2 linked regions of the Danio rerio genome follow. The protein of the gene in region 1 interacts with the protein of each later gene in a pairwise test. Links are inferred from orthologs where the notes say so. Each region holds a gene or a part of one and is shown on either strand. Other genes may lie near its edges.

Evidence for each region. The genes of interacting proteins can lie anywhere in the genome.
Region 2: the proteins of rbbp8 (region 1) and rbl1 interact in a two-hybrid assay, tested with the Homo sapiens proteins (2 studies listed by BioGRID and IntAct). The link is inferred for Danio rerio from reciprocal best matches to the Homo sapiens genes RBBP8 and RBL1.

What each region holds. Positions count from the first base shown.
Region 1 is NC_133199.1:39,942,763-39,951,415, reverse strand, and holds the start of rbbp8 (DNA endonuclease RBBP8), read right to left. Parts: upstream 5,173-8,653; 5' UTR 5,111-5,172; exon of another isoform or gene 4,968-5,110; 5' UTR 4,936-4,967; coding exon 4,827-4,935; intron 3,684-4,826; coding exon 3,641-3,683; intron 3,419-3,640; coding exon 3,323-3,418; intron 3,235-3,322; coding exon 3,122-3,234; intron 1,082-3,121; coding exon 1,009-1,081; intron 918-1,008; coding exon 763-917; intron 1-762. UniProt on the Homo sapiens protein: Endonuclease that cooperates with the MRE11-RAD50-NBN (MRN) complex in DNA-end resection, the first step of double-strand break (DSB) repair through the homologous recombination (HR) pathway.
Region 2 is NC_133181.1:54,210,651-54,218,742, forward strand, and holds part of rbl1 (retinoblastoma-like protein 1), read right to left. Parts: intron 6,683-8,092; coding exon 6,554-6,682; intron 6,295-6,553; coding exon 6,149-6,294; intron 4,282-6,148; coding exon 4,217-4,281; intron 4,127-4,216; coding exon 3,940-4,126; intron 2,520-3,939; coding exon 2,353-2,519; intron 1,989-2,352; coding exon 1,876-1,988; intron 1,790-1,875; coding exon 1,686-1,789; intron 1,457-1,685; coding exon 1,319-1,456; intron 1-1,318. UniProt on the Homo sapiens protein: Key regulator of entry into cell division. Directly involved in heterochromatin formation by maintaining overall chromatin structure and, in particular, that of constitutive heterochromatin by stabilizing histone methylation.

The DNA.
Region 1 (8,653 bases):
GAAGTGGGACATTCACATAGACTCTATCGTGAAGAAAGCCCAGCATAGACTGTACTTCCTTTGTCAGTTGAGGAAGTTAAACCTGGCACAGGAGCTGCTTGTGCAGTTCTATTCAGCTGTCATCCAATCCATCCTCTGCACTTCAATCACCGTCTGGTTCAGCTCAGCTGCCAAAACCGACCTCCGTAGACTACAGTGAATAGTCCGGACTGCTGAACGAATCACTGGCACTACCCTTCAAGAACTGTACTCTTCCAGAGTGAGTAAAAGGGCTCGCAAAATCACTCTGGACGCCTCGCACCCAGCACACTTCCTGTTTGAACAGTTACCGTCTGGTCGGCACTTCAGAGCACCAAGAACAAAAACAGCCAGACACAGGAAAAGTTTCTTTCCTCAGGCCATCTACTGCATGAACAGTTAAATATAACCCAACTGTGCAATAAATATGTGCAATACTTTCTCATACGCACTTGTACACAGCCCCTTATATCAATATACAATGCAATAATTTCTACATTCGCATTTGCACACAGCACCTTATGTTATAACCTGTATATTTATAACAAATCTGTACATACAACTCAACATCCAGATTTCTGGACTAACTGCATCTCCGTTTAATGTTTATCATCTTTTTTTCCTCATATTTATTTTGTGTTGTCACTTTATGTACACTGGAAGCTTCTTGTGTTATTCCTTGTGTGTGTGAAGCACACTTGGCAATAAAACTGATTCTGATTAAACTTCTCTGGAGTGACTAACCGGGGTGTGAGAGTGATAGCGGTGTCTCAGTGTATCGGACGTGGTTCTGCTCTTTCCGGCGTTTCATCTTGCTGGCAACGGGTAAAGACAGCGGCCGGAGAGGAGAGTCTGGGATCATTCCCTCCTCAGCCTCAGAGGACGTGTTCTGTGGAGAACTAAACACACACTCAAAACAGACGGTCATATGATGATGAATGTCACCAGTGCTCAGTATTTCATCATGTTTTCTTCAACTCTGAGACTCACCCAGACCTCCTGAGTCGCTCCAGTTCAAGACTCAGTCTCCTGTTTTCATCTGTCAGAGTTTTCCTCTCAGCCTCTAAACACACACATTGAAGAAGATTTTTGGGTTGATACTGATAGGCTGGATGAGACGAGAGCTGCACTGGTATGGAATTTTTGACCTGATAACTGATAACGTAAATTTGATTTGAAACAGATAGCCAATATATTATTAACAAAAATAGCAGACAAATAATATCTATATCCATAATTGTTATGCATGATTGCAAAAACAAAAATCAAACACTTACAGAGAACAACTGATTTTATTTTAAAACTTTAACTTCAGAACAGTAACATTTACAACAAGGCAAAACCAGCAAAAATAAAGCATAAAAACAGCACAAATAAAAACCTAATTTTGTTATTAGACCAATCGAGATAACATTAAAATCAGGTTTGCTGATATTGATATGGCCACCGATGTATCATCCAACCCTAGTAGATACAGATGAGTTTCAGACAACTTAAAGTAAAAACTATTTATATCCATTTTTTTAACACTCAATTCTTACAAAATTCCATCTAAATTACAAATTCCAAATGCACAATTTCCAAAAGACATTATATATATATATATATATATATATATATATATATATATATATATATATATATTTTTTTTTTTTTTTTTTTTTTTGAATGTAACTATTTTTGGGACAAAATTATTAGCCTCTTTAAGCTATTTTTTTTCGATAGTCTACAGAACAAACCATCGTTATACAATAACTTGCCTAATTACCCTAACCTGCCTAGTTAACCTAATTAACCTAGTTAAGCCTTTAAATGTCACTTTAAGCTGTATAAAAGTGTCTTAAAAAATATCTAGTCAAATAATATTTACTGTCATCATGGCAAAAATAAAATAAATCAGTTATTAGAAATAGGTTTTTTAAAACTATTATGCTTAGAAATGTGCTGAAACAATCTTCCCTCCATTAAACAGAAATAGGGGAAAAAAATAAACAGGGGCGCTAATAATTCAGGGGGGCTAATAATTCTGACTTACATACACATACACATTTCTTATGAATTATTTATGATTTTATTTATAAATTTTGACCTCGACTGTTTATTTTTTCCCCAATTTTTGTTTAACAGAGAGAAGATTTTTTTCAACACATTTCTAAACAGAATAGTTTTAATAACTTATTTCTAATAACAGATTTCTTGTATCTTTGCCATGATGACAGTAAATAATAATTTACTAGATATTTTTCAAGACACTTCTATACAGCTTAGAGTGACATTTAAAGGCTTAACTTGGTTAATTAGGTTAACTAGGCAGGTTAGGGTAATAAAGCAAGTAATTGTATAACGATGGTTTATACAATCAAAAAGAAATACAGCTTAAAGGGGCTAATAAAATTGACCATAAAATGCTTTTTTAAAAATTAAAAACTGCTTTTATTGTAGTCGAAATAAAACAAATAAGACTTTCTCTAGAGGAAAAAATATTATCAGACATACTGTGAAAATTTCCTTATATATATAAAGTTTTGTATGGCTTCTTTAATTTTTCTTGTTAATTATAATTTATTAAAAATTTTCTAATTAACATATATATAGGGGTGTATTAATGCTTGCAGCATCATAATAGCTAGTTATGTTTTTTTTAATAATTTCCACTCTTAAAAATAATTACAACTAGCCAAACAAAAACGAAAAAACATTTATTTTATATGGCCTCCTTCATTTTTTTATTTATTGCAATTTATTTCAGATTTTTTGTAACATTCATTGGAGTCTAGTTCATTTTGAACTATAAATTGCAAATTATGTTGTTCGAATGGTTTCAGTTCTCCCTTTGTATTGACTTATCTCACAATAAACCAATAAATGATATTTGATCAAATATCTTACTGTTTAAGATCTCGCTGAAAGTATTATTTTAAAAGCAAGATGAATATTTTTCAGCGATCAATCTGTTAGAGTGCATTTATCTAAGCTGGACACAGTAAATAAGTTCAAACCTCTGAAACTAAACCATCATCTATTTACATTAAAGACAGCACAGTCCAATAAAATATGCTTTAATAACACCACTGAAAAAGAAATAGTCACCAAAAATACTCACCAAGCTCAGAGATGACAGACAGATTTCTCTGATTATTATCTTCAAGCTCAGTGTTTGTCTTTTTAATCTGCTTCTCTTTCACAGTGCAGCGATCGCATGGTCCAGAACGCAACCTAAAAAAATAACACAGTGACTAAAACTGAGCTCCGAATTCAGGATAAATGCATAAAAAACATGATCAATAGGTTTGCTTGTGAGCACCTGTCCTCCAGCTGTCTGATCTTCTCCTGCTGGATCTTCTGTTGCTCTCGTAAATGTTGATTCTTGCTGTGAAATTCACTCAATTTCTGAGCATCTCTGAGAAAAGAGACACAATATTATTATTATTAATAATAATAATAATACAGTCAAATAGGATATGTGGCATTACAGATTACAGATTAAAAAAGGTTTTTCAAAATAGCTTAAGCATGTTTAATGATCATCACAAATATTTATTCATGCTTTAATGACTCTCAAACTGATTTATATACATTTTTAAATATATTTGCATGTACACTGTATACGACGTGGACTTACAGACAGCGCTCTTTCTTCAGTTTAGCTATTTTTGCTTGTAATTCTGAAAATGAGAAACATGTATGTTGTCAGAGAAAAGAAAAATATTTTAATAAGTTATTTGACAATCTATTTTTATTATAAAAGTTATCAAATCAGAAAAACAGAATCCACAATACAGTTTTTCTCAGTCGATCAACAGTAACTGCATTTCTCAAAACATTTTGTCATTTGTGCACATCATAGCAGCAGTTTCTTATTCCGTCTAACAAATTGCAAATGCTTTCTGACGTGTATCAATTGCTTTTATACAACTCTCTGCTGTTTATAACATTATCATTTGTTTATGTCATGTCAGTTCAAATTAACTGAACTTGTGAATGCTGAATAGTCACTCCATATAAAACTAATAGTCCTCTTTTATTACTTATTACTCTTTTATTCTTTACATACAAAAATGTTAAACTAGCTGTCCAAATCTCTCAAGCAAATTTTATAAAATCTTTTTTTTTTCTGAAAATTTCTTGTAAATTGAATGATTTGATGAATTATTTAAAGACCTCTATGTTGTAGGTTCAGTTCCAATATGTTCTGCAATATTGTTTACAGGTGTGCACAGCTCTACCCAAAGGGAGATTAGGTTTGTTGTAAATTTGTGTGTATTTATTCTTCAGCGCAACGATGTGAATAAATTAAAATTGCAAGATTATGCAGTAAAAATGTAAAACACACATATTCAGTGTCTTGTACTCAGATACCTCAATAAATGCAGAGATGTCTAACTTTACTGTAGTTTTCAAATGGCTGTGCAAATAGTGTATAGTTCTGTCCAAAGCATTTTCAGCAAATGTCACCAAAATCTGACTTTATTGCATTGGATGTAATGTAAAGAGTGAACTGTCATAAAGAAGACAAAGCCATTTGACTATCTTGTTCATAAACAATGTTGTGGTAATTGTGTATATTGTCTTTAAGTGATATTTACAAGTGGTTTCAGACCGAATAGTCAAATACCATGGTAAACAATATAGAGAGATTGTCTATATTGAGAGAATATAAAACCAACTTTACCTCAATTAAGTAGGCTAACAATAATTACCTATATTTCAAAGTAATTGCTTAAATTACATTTTTAGCATACAAGTAATGTAATTAACTAAGTAACTAGTTGTTATGTAATTATTTATACTCCACTCAGGTTATTTACCTTGCAGTGCGGTGTCGTGCAGGTCTCGGACAGCGGTCAGCAGCTCCTGCAGTTTCTCCCTGTGGTCTGAGGATGAAGCAGGACTCAGATCTGCTGGAGTGATGCTCATCTTCACTCTGTTTCACTGTAAATCCTTCACAACTCCAGCATTTACACAAATACATTTAAAAAAAACTCTCCACTTACACCTGACAAATTCCCTCCTGAATGTTTACACAAACGTATATCCGCGTATAAGACTAAAATAATAGGCATTTAAACATGGAAACGCGCGTTCAATATACCTTCAATAATTGGGGTTGTAAATATTCTGATTGCCCGCTTCTTCTTTTTCTTTTTCTTCTTTGGTTGTTAATGGCTGTAGGCAACTGAACTTTGCCGCCACCGACTGGAATGGAGTAATGGAACTGGGCGTGCAGTGGCGTGGGTTCCGGGTGCTCCGGTTTCCCCCACAGTTCACAGTCACACACATATAGGTGAGTTGAATAAACTAAATTGGCCGTGTAAATGTGAGTGTGCATGGGTGTTTCCCTGTGATGGGTTGCAACTGGAAGGACTTCCGCTGTGTTAAACATATGCTGGAATAGTTGGCGGTTCCCCTGATAAATAAAGGGAATAGGCTGAGCTGAAGGAAAATTAATGGATGAATTGTTTTTGTTTGCCAACTATGATTTCTTAGTTTTATTTCAGTTAATCAAAATGCTTTTTGACCAATGTTTTTTGTTTTAGTCTAAGTTTACGTTTTCGTTTGCTAAAATAACCTTGGAGAGTAAGGAAACTGCGTGTGTGTGTGTGTGTGTGTGTTTGTGCGCGTGTTTGTGTGTGTGTGTGTGTGTGAGAGAGAGAGAGAAAGAGAAAGAAAGGAGAGAGAGAGAGAGAGATATTCGGACAAACGTGTATAATGACATGGGTATGACACGGGTATTACAAAGAGACTGTGAATTATGAGGACATTGCTAATGTCAATTTTTTCAATTCAGAATAGGGTTGGGGCAATAGAAAATACAGCTTGTATAGTGTAAACAATAATAGTTACTTGACCAATGGAAAACAATAGAATAATATCAAATGTTCCCACAATTCACAAAAGCTAACCCTGTGTCTGTGTGTAGTGGCAGGAAAGTTTGTGATTTCATTCATTCGCTCATTTTCTTTTTGACTTTCCTTTTAGTCCCTTTATTAATTTGGGGTCACCACAGTGGCATGAACTCCCAACTTATCCAGCATGTGTTTCACGCAGCGGATGCCCTTCCAGCCGCAACCCATCTCTGGAAAACATCCATTCACACTCATACACTACGGACATTTTAGCCTACCCAATTCACCTATACAGCATGTCTTTGGACTGTTGGGGAAACCAGAGTGCCCTGAGATAACCCACGTGAACGCAGGGAGAACATGCAAACTCCACACTGAAACACCAACTGACCCAGCCGAGGCTCGAACCAGCAGCCTTCTTGCTGTGAGGTGACAGCATTACCTACTGCGCCACCGTGTCACGTTTTTGTGAACTCTTTAGAATAAAATATTTTTCTGCTGCAATTCATCATAAAATTTGAGTCACAATGACAGACAAACATACTGTGCATACATTTATCAAGCAAACAATTCTAGTTTCTTGTGTCTTTGTTGATCACAAAATATTAAAGAGTGACTGACTGACTGACTGACTGACCGATCAACTGACCCACCTTCCCTATACTCAACCAATAGTGTTTTCAAAAGCAGCAACTGACCAGCCCAACACCTTCCCTAAACCCAACTTGCAGTGTTTTAAAAAGCAATCCAGAAAAAAAAGCCCTCGTCAAATTTTTACTGCATTTTCAGATTTTTCCACATTCTTTACATGTTTATTTAATTTTTTTGGCTTCTGTTTTTGTCTTCAGGAACCATTCTTTGCTGGATTCAAACTCCATCATCATGGTCAACTCCTCTCTGCATCTCAAGTCCATCGACGAATGCGTCAAGCTACTGGGCAAACTGGTAACAGCAGAAAAGGCTGTATGCGATCAGCTGCTTAGCAAGAACGTTGTCACACCACCCCGTAGCATTTGTTTTAAAGACAAAATGTAGCCATATGTGTATCTGACCGTCGACTGTCATGGTAAAAAACAACTACATTTTGACCAAAAAAGTTTTTGAGCCCATATGACCAAATTACTGACCCAATAACTTTGAAGCATGAATGAAACGTTTTGGGTGAGTACAGGGCCGGCTCATCTATAGAGGCTACCTAGGCAGCCGCGACACCTCCCTCACCACCTGCGTCCTAAGTTATATCCGCGAACAGCCACCCCCTCCTCAACTTGCTACCTTTTCACTTTTGTTTTCACTTTCAGATTGTGGGTAGCGTGATCGTCAGATAATATTCATACATGTAAATCTTGAAATGACTTAACAAAATATCCATATAATATTATACAATAAAATATAACATAATAACATCTAAAACACTCAAATATTTCTATAGTAGAACTACATGACACCGTCGGCATCAATACATTGTGTACCGTGCGTTGACGTAGCCTATCGCTGTTTTTGTTATAAATAAGCACACACATACACACAGACACACACACACATATATACATTGTTTTATATATATATATAGTTTCCCAGAGATGCGTTGCGGCTGGAAGGGCATCCGCTGCATAAAAACGTGCTGGATAAGTTGGCGGTTTATTTCGCTGTGGTCACCCCGGATTAATAAAGTAACTAAGCCGAAAAGAAAATGAATATATATATATATATATATATATATATATATATATATATATATATATATATATATATATATATATATATATATATATATGGGTAATTTCTGGCATTTGGTAATATTTCAGCTTGAACAAACTCATTTTTATAAGTCTGTTGATTATATTTTAAATAGCCTACATAATTAGGCACAATTTAAACTTTCAAAAATTTCCCTCAGGCATTACAGCTTTCATATTATTTTCAGTTTTATTCTTATTTGGACACCTATAATTCTCAACCCCATTACGGACAAAACTGAGTTGTTAATAATAGTATTTTACAAAGCTTTTGCTATCAAACCAAAATTTACCTATTGCTCATATGTCCCTCAAATCACTGTAATGACTAAAACATAATATTTTTGATAAGTTTTAGATTTATATGTGATTTAACTTACAACTATACAATTTATGAATTCTGTGGTCTCTTAATTTTTCTAAAAATCTTTTATATTTAGATGTCTTACCCAAACCACATATTTACAGTGTTAGGCCTTTACATGGTGGTTGGTACTCAGCAAGAATGTTTTCCATATTTAATTGTTTTCCTTATTTTATTTTCCAAAAAATATTAATTTCACAGGGTTGAGAATACAATGAAGGGGTTGAAGACCATATCAGGGTTGAGGGGACACTTTAATTTTAGTTTTAATTTGTTTTAATTATTTGAAATTACATCTAAGACTTAACCAAAACACTTATTTATTTTAGCAAAATATTTAGCAATGGCTTAACACTAAGATGAAATTAAACTTTATTAAACCAAACTACAGTCAGAATTTAAAAAAGGAAACTGCTGAAGGTAAATGGACCATTAGTAACCTTTAAAAATACTGATAAAGGCCTATGATAACAAATATATTGCTGAACAGAACCTACAGTAAACAGGAGCAACAGGTAAAAACTGCAGCAGAAAAATTCTTAATGAAATTGCTGATGAAAATTTTTAATAATAAAAATATCTATATTTTTTTTATTTATATATATATAGATAGATACACAGATATATATGGGGCAGTACTGGGTGACTGATGAAGGATTTCATACATTGAAACATTTCATATACTA
Region 2 (8,092 bases), on another chromosome or scaffold:
ATATATATATATATATATATATATATATATATATATATATATATATATATATATATATATATATATAGTTGGACAATATTTCAACAAAAAAAATTAAATCACGATATCACATTTCATATCATTCGATTTTGATAATTACTAAATATATGTTTTACAGTCCATTTAGGAATATTAGGATTTTTTTATTTATTTAAATCACTTTATTTTATTTTACCAACATTACTGAGGCAAATAGTTTTGATAGACAAAAACTAAATTATTTAAACAAAATATCTGATCTCTTTATAATAAAATAAACGTGTTAAGGAGACTCTTAATCTTAATAAATAAAATGTTACAAAGTGTGTGCAATGGTAAAGTGTAAACGCTGAACGATCAAAGCAAACTTTAAGCTGTGAATAATAATAATACAGTAAACCTCAAACTCTGTCAACAACACAAATAATGATAATCAAATTTGAGCTTTTAAGTAAAGGAACCAGCCATCATTATTTAAATACATACAGCATGGCGCTCGCTCAGCAGCTGCATTTAATAAAACTATATCGCTTCATACGAAACTACCTACCAAATTTTTTTTTTTATCGATACTGACAAAGACCTTCGGTCATTAAATATTGACATCTATTATATATATTTATATATATATATATATATATATATATATATATATATATATATATATATATATATATATATATATATATATATATATATATATAATTCCTGCATAAATAAAAAACTTGTCACATTGCATACACATGAAGCCTCTGTAGCCAAAACAATTTCCTTGTGTGTGTAAGCACACGTTTCAATAAAACCAATTCTGATTCTGATAAGTATAGAAATAATTAATAGTGTGGGCAGATACATTTAAGAAAAAAAAAATAAACAAAGTTTTCTCCCCTTTCAAATGTGTATTCATTTTTGGACATAGTTCCTTACTTTTCCAGCTCAACAAGCTAATGAGACGGTGTCTATATATCATCATCAGCGACAAAAAAAAAAGTGAACAAGATTTTTTTAACAATCAATCATAATGGCATAAAGCCCACCTTCTGAAGATTGATAATACACTCTCTCATTAGCATGTTGAGCTCAGGAAAAGTAAACGTGGAACTACGTTCTAAAAGGAATACACATTTGCAGGAGGGAGGATCAACTCAGTTTAGCATTTTCTTATTCCCCTAACAAAAGTGCAATTTAATTATTTATCTGCCCGCACTATTAATTCTTTATATATTTACGCATACAGGAATTTGTGGATTTATGTATTGTTTTTGCAGGTTTAATCCTCCATACTGACAATGTTCTGTACCTTGTAAAAGTAGAAAGGTGGGATCTGAAAGATTTCCAGTATCCAGGGGAAAGTTCTTTGCGAGCTGTATGAGAACAGCACCACCTCCAGACAGCAGGCCAAAAGAGAGCAATGGAGCACCTCCTGCTCCAACAGGACCTGATTGAGAAAAAGACGTAAGAGAGGAAGAGCTTACAATCTTGCACCAAAGCAGACAGCGAGAGCTTTAAAATAAGACATTACTGCAAGGCATGTTGTTCCATATAACCGATTCCTCTTTGAATAAAGAAAAAAAAAAAAAAAGCAGAAGTGGAAAAGCTACATTTACAAACACATTTATCACATGCATCAAGCATATATCAAATATAATATTAATAATGTGACTTACTGCCCAGTCTTTGCCTTGTAATCTCTTCATCTCTTGAGTCATTACATTCTCCAGGATCTTAAAGTACAAGATCTCGGCCAGCTTCAGACGTTTCTCTGCAAAGTCTACACACAAGAGCCTGCACTTATTTACATGATCACACATAATGCTTTCATAATGACCAATCATTTTAGACGGCAGTAAATCTGACCCATATGTGCTCCCGGCAGGTCATCTGTGGGATTAGTGTAGGCCTGTTTGAACTTTTCCCCCAAGGTTTTCACCCGATTCAGAATGGATTCAGTGGGGTTTCGAGAACAGGAACTATTTGAACAGAAAATGAAGAATGGTTAAATAGACGTAAAGGTTTATTATTGTGAATTGTGGGGATATTCCATAGGTTTCTATTGTTTTTATACTGTACAAACTGTATTTGAGATGGCACTTCCCCAACCCCACGCTTTACAAAAAAAATGTGCAGTTTTACTTTCTGAAAAAGCTCATTCTGTATGATTTCTAAACCTTTTGAAAAATGTAAACATCAGCAATGTCCTCATAATTCACAGTCTCCTGTGTCATAATACACATTTGTGTCCACATCTGACACAAAAACAAGTTTAAAAAAAGGAATGCAAGAAAACCAAATCTAAAACTATAAGTGCATGTTTTGGTTTTAGCAAACACTTACATAAATATCTGAAGCAGAGCGTCGCTCGGTGCGTTTCGGAGACCAGACACCATGCTTTGCAGTCGACTCACACTTTGGGTGGCTGAAGAAACAGGCGTGACCAGCACTTCCTTCTCCTTTAAATACCGTCGACCCGTTAGAGGAGTAGAGGGAGCAAGGGAACGCGTCTGCACACAAACAGGAAGAAGATGCAAATATATATATATATATATATATATATATATATAGTAGGGGTGTAATGAGGTCCCATATCACGTGGTATCACAAGATTAAATCCCGTTAAGATTTCTCGTAGAGGTGTTAAGTTGTCTCGTGAGTTATGTTATGATGGAGCGTGAGGGTGAAATTAGCATTGAAGATTGGAGGCAGGTTTGGATATGAACCGCAATTCAAGTGCTTTGCACACACCTGGCAACCAGGGCTGCCTCGATGTTGCGTGTCACTCATTTGCTTGGGCGGGTGTGACGTAACCTTTTTTTTTTTTTTCCATCGAAGGTTGCGGTCTGAGCAGAGGCTACAGCTGACATGTTAAGCCGTAAAGTATTCCTATTTCAGTCACATTACTGCTGTGCAGTACAGACATGTCAACACCTTGATTAAACTATTACCATCGTGTAGGACTTTTAGCTGCATTTTGCAACAGAATAAGCCATGCATACACAGCTGTTTAACTCTAACTTTAAATTCTCTAACTTTAAATGAACTTTAACATTAATTCCCTCCATCTACTGAGTCACTAAAGGACCAGACACACACATCTCTGTGCGCACACACAAACGGGGAACTCCTAGAGGCTTGTCGCATCATCAGCGAACACAGCTTTATACTGTCCGGGAAAAGAAGTTATCTTTTCATTCATGCGGTATCAAGTCACTTTAAAACAACTCTCTCCTATCAGTACTTAATTTATAATTGTATCCAGTAGTTCTGAGCTTGTCATGGGTATTGAGGCTTCCAGATTGAATGAATAAATAAATGAATGAAAAACATGGTTTTGCGCTAAAGCAACCCAGGGTGCTGAAATATATTTGGCTAAACTGGCATTGGGCGGGATAAATGAACAAAACAAAGACAGACAATCCTGCACGTAACTCACAATTTTAAAGTAGAATATCTGAATTCATTGTTTTTCAGATAAACAATTATGTTCACTTAGCATGTTTCTTAAATACCTGCAAACATATTATGGTATTTTTATGCTTTAGAAAAGTCAAAAACTTACATACAGCACCTTTAAAAAGCACCTAAATAGTCATGTATAAAAAGACTACTCTCCATTCAAATATTAGCAACATATTTTGCAGTGTTGGCATGTCCTTTACTGCACAGAAGTCATTAAAATAACATTCATTACAAGTTGATTTAAAAAAGCACCTATATGGTTTTGCATTTTGTGATTTTTTTTCAGTTGAATAAAAGACTATTTTCCATTCATATATTTTATCATTCAAGATTTCTTTAAAATACTGCCAAAATCTTGTTTTGTTCTCTTGAAACCAATCTTGTCTCCTGGAGTAAGCATCTCATCACACCCCTAATAAATACTGTAATTACAGTGACTGTTAATCTAACTACTTTTCTTCATACCTTCTCAAAGTGCTGCTGAAGGTTGTTCTCCACCTGCATGCGGGCAGAGAGATGACCTGAAGGAGGTTCAGCGGTGGATTTGCGCGGTGTGCCGATCTCCTCGTCTGCATCAGCCCCCAAAAACACTCGCTCATCAAAATCCCCCACAGTCAAAACAAACTCCTCATAATCACGATTTATGGCTTTACTGAAAAGACAAAAATGTTTTCAAAAGCATTTAATTGCATACAACGTTTTGCATGGAAAAGCAATGTGTTCAGAAATTGAATGTGCGTACTTGTTATCTTGGAAATTTGGAGTGTCCAGTAATTCAGTCAGAGTTTCAACATCACCTTTTAACATCTGGGAATATAAGGAGGTAAAACAAAAGCTATAAATATAGAATTAGGCCTGCACAATTAGACATTTCTAAAACGAAATCACTATATAAAAAAATAAAAATTTCAAATCCCAAAAGCAGTGTTTATTTCAATGCACTAATAAATAAGAAACATAAAATTTTTGACAGTTCTGACAGTTGGTAAGCACATTACCCTGAACAATGTAAAAAAGTAACATAATCTAGAAGTGCAGCTTTTCTTGTTGACCCTTTGGTTTAGAATTCATGTTCTTTGCAGTTTAAAAGGCAAAAACATTTGCTGTCGTTGTTATATAGGTTGTCCACAGTAATGTAGGTTATCGCTAGGTCCACACGAAATCTGCACATGCAGAAATCTGCAGATTTCCGCAGATTTTTTAGCCCATCATTCAGTCAATTCATAGTGTAAATGTAAGTAAATTAAGTTTAAAAACTAAATAAACATTCATTTCATTAATATTATTGACTAACATGAAAATGTTCATATAATTTAGTTACAAAACAGTTTGTAAAGTTATATTTTGTGTATTTAGTATACTATATGAGCGACTTTCTGTTTAACAAATAAGTGGATCATATTGGATTTGCATTGTAAACATTAAATAAAAGTTAAAAGGTATATACATATACATATATATATATATATATATATATATATATATATATATATATATATAGAGAGAGAGAGAGCTGAAATTAGAATTATTAGCCCCCCTGAAATTTTAGTCCCCATTTATTTTTCACCAAATTTTGGAGAGATTTTTTTTCAAAACATTTTAAAACAAAAAAGTTTTAACTCATTTCCAATAACTGATTTATTTTATCTTTGCAATGATGACAGTACATAAATTTCCTTTCCTCTATCGCTATTAAAGGGATACTTGTTAACCCTGACACGAGTGTGTCTGTAGAGTGACTTTCCACAACGGCATTTATCACAGATCAGCTATGATATCTGAATATATTACGTGCACGACTCTTACCGCGCATTTATAATTCAATTAATTATATTAAAAAAAAAAAAATATATATATATATATATATATATATATATATATATATATATGGGCTGCACGATGGCGCTATGGGTAGCATGATCACCTCACAGAAAGAAGGTTGCTGAGTCTCAGCTAGGTCAGCTGGCGTTTCTGTGTGGAGTTTGCATGTTCTCCCATTGATCGCGTAGGTTTCCTCCGGGTGCTCCGGTTTCCACCACAGTCCAAAGACATGCGCTATAGGTAAATTGGGATAAAAATTGTCCGCAGAGTATGTGTGTATGGATGTTTCCCAGTAATGGGTTGCAGTTGGAAGGGCATCCGCTGCGTAAAACATATGCCGGATAAGTTGGCAGTTCATTCCTCTGTATAAAAGGAATAAAAGGACTTTGAAAATGAAAAAAAAAATATATATATTATTTTTTTTATGTTTTTTTTAATGTTTTTAGTTATGATACTCTCAAAATAATTCTGCATAAATCCACAAATTTTTTTACAAAGTTCTCAGCAGAAATAGCCAAAAAACATCAACAAATTCTGTCTGGCCCTAGTTATCACCAGTGTTTTAATGATGTACAATTGTTTACATTGTTTAAATTCTTTAAAGTTTAAAATTTTATATTTAATTTATTTAATTTAGGATACTGTAGTTTTTTTTTTAATTATGTTTAGTATTTCTGTGGCTCTGCTAAAACCACCACATTAAACTGTAGTTCTTTTATGAAACAGAAGTAATCGCAAATCGTCATTTTGAAAAGAAAAACTGTAATTAAATTTTTTTTCTACAAAGCATGCAGTCATATATGGAATTGTGCTGTTTTTGTTTTGGGTGTCAAAGTGCGTATATATTCCTCACTCTTTTCTCAAACAGGGTCTTTATGTAGGGCTTGAAGTAGTGCTCCTTTATGCCTTTGGCCTCCACCACCAACCCATCATGCAGTTCACACAACTTGTCAATGACACAGGGCATCTCTTTCAGGTTTTCTGTGTCTTTCGGCAGGCCTACAGAAAGGTGAAAAACAGATGTTCAGTGAAGTGTTTACCTGTTTTTTCAGACACAAAGCAAACACAATGCAATATTACGGTGAGGGAAAGACACTAAATTCAGAATCGCTGAAGAGTGTAAATCAAAACAACACAGGCATGCTTTAAAACACTCAAATATATTTAATGCAATCAATGGATTCACTTGTAATTTTGTCTGTCTTCTCAATCAGTCAAGCAAACATATTTTCTGAGATGAATAAAAGGTGACCTTTACCTCTGAAATTCTGATTGATGAGATCTTTCCTGTTGGAGCACATGAGAGCGTTGCAAAACACCAGGTCCAGACAGCAGAGGAGGAGGTGATAGGAGTTGACCAAATCATCTCCGATCATGTGGAAATTACCTGAAATAAAGCAGAATTCATGTCATGAGATCAGCTGGAACTATAAGTCAGAGATTTTTAGCAAAAGCAGTCAAAATTAGACATATATCTACAAATAGTATTCATATACTAGCAATAAAAGTATAGAATAAATAAGACTAAATTGTAAAAATTGTTAGGGTGTATGACTGCATTTGTTAAATGAAAATTCACCCATAAAAGTCTTGATTCAAATACAGTTATAGCAAAAATCTAATTACTACAAGATCAGTTTCAAATCACTATTTCTTTTCCATATTTTTATGTTTTTTTTAAGACAGAAGACATTTAAGAGTATTTAGCTGAATTTAATTTTACCTGACAGAATTTTTTTTGCTGGATTCATAGTGTTACGTGTATGTTATATGCCATCTGCTGCAAAGACATGACTCACTTTCATTCACTTTCTTACAATCCCTCCATACCTCTTGAAAAACATTGTGCATTTCTAAAGTGTGCTTGACAAACCACTTGTGGAAACACTCTTCTCTCTATATGCATATTACACTTTACTTAATCTTAGAAGGTCTTAATAAGGAAAACAATGTTTACTTGTGAATGTACCACACAATCAAGTTTCACTACTTGATTTTCTCAACATTAAAATACCCCGTATGAACAGTATCTTGCACAACAGTATTCCGTCTTACGCAAAAGTACTTGTATAGTCAGTCTTAGGTTGTGTGTATAGTCTAAGTATTCATAATATATGTACAGTTAGAGTACCGCTCCGGTGTGTTAGTTACGTAGAGACTTAATATTGCTCTTACTTCCAGTGTTATGTCTATATTTATGATTATGCTTATTCACCGTGGTCCTGCGATACACAACTTCATCCCACTGTATGTTCAAACATGTAACAGAATAACAATAAACCTCAAATTGAGTTGATTTGTAGGACAGATATTTTACTTTATAAATGCATTGGTTTGTTACAGAAGGCCTTTATTTAGTGGGCACTTTTTTATTATGGATGTTTTATTATGGACTTTTAATCATTGGACTTTTAACCAGTTAAACTCTGCTGTTATTTTGGGATTTCCGCCTGGATTTTGCCTACCCAAATTTAAAAGCTTTCCAAATCCACATGCAGAGGTGTAAATGCAAAAATTTGGTATCATTTAAAAATAAAAACTTTGAATTTTCATAAAACACTATTGAAAGTTTTTAAAATATCTGTATATGTTGTCTGTGTTATAATAAACAAAAAAAAAAGGTGCTTTTTGTATTTTTTTTAATAAACTCAAATTTGAAATTGTACCTTTTAGGTTCTGTGTGGTCTAGCGTGCTGTAATTAATTTTGGTGGTTCCTGCACATGTCTGTAATCATAGGGAAAAAGAAAAACGTCTCCACCATAATCTATGCAAAAGTTATTTTATTCCAACTGATGA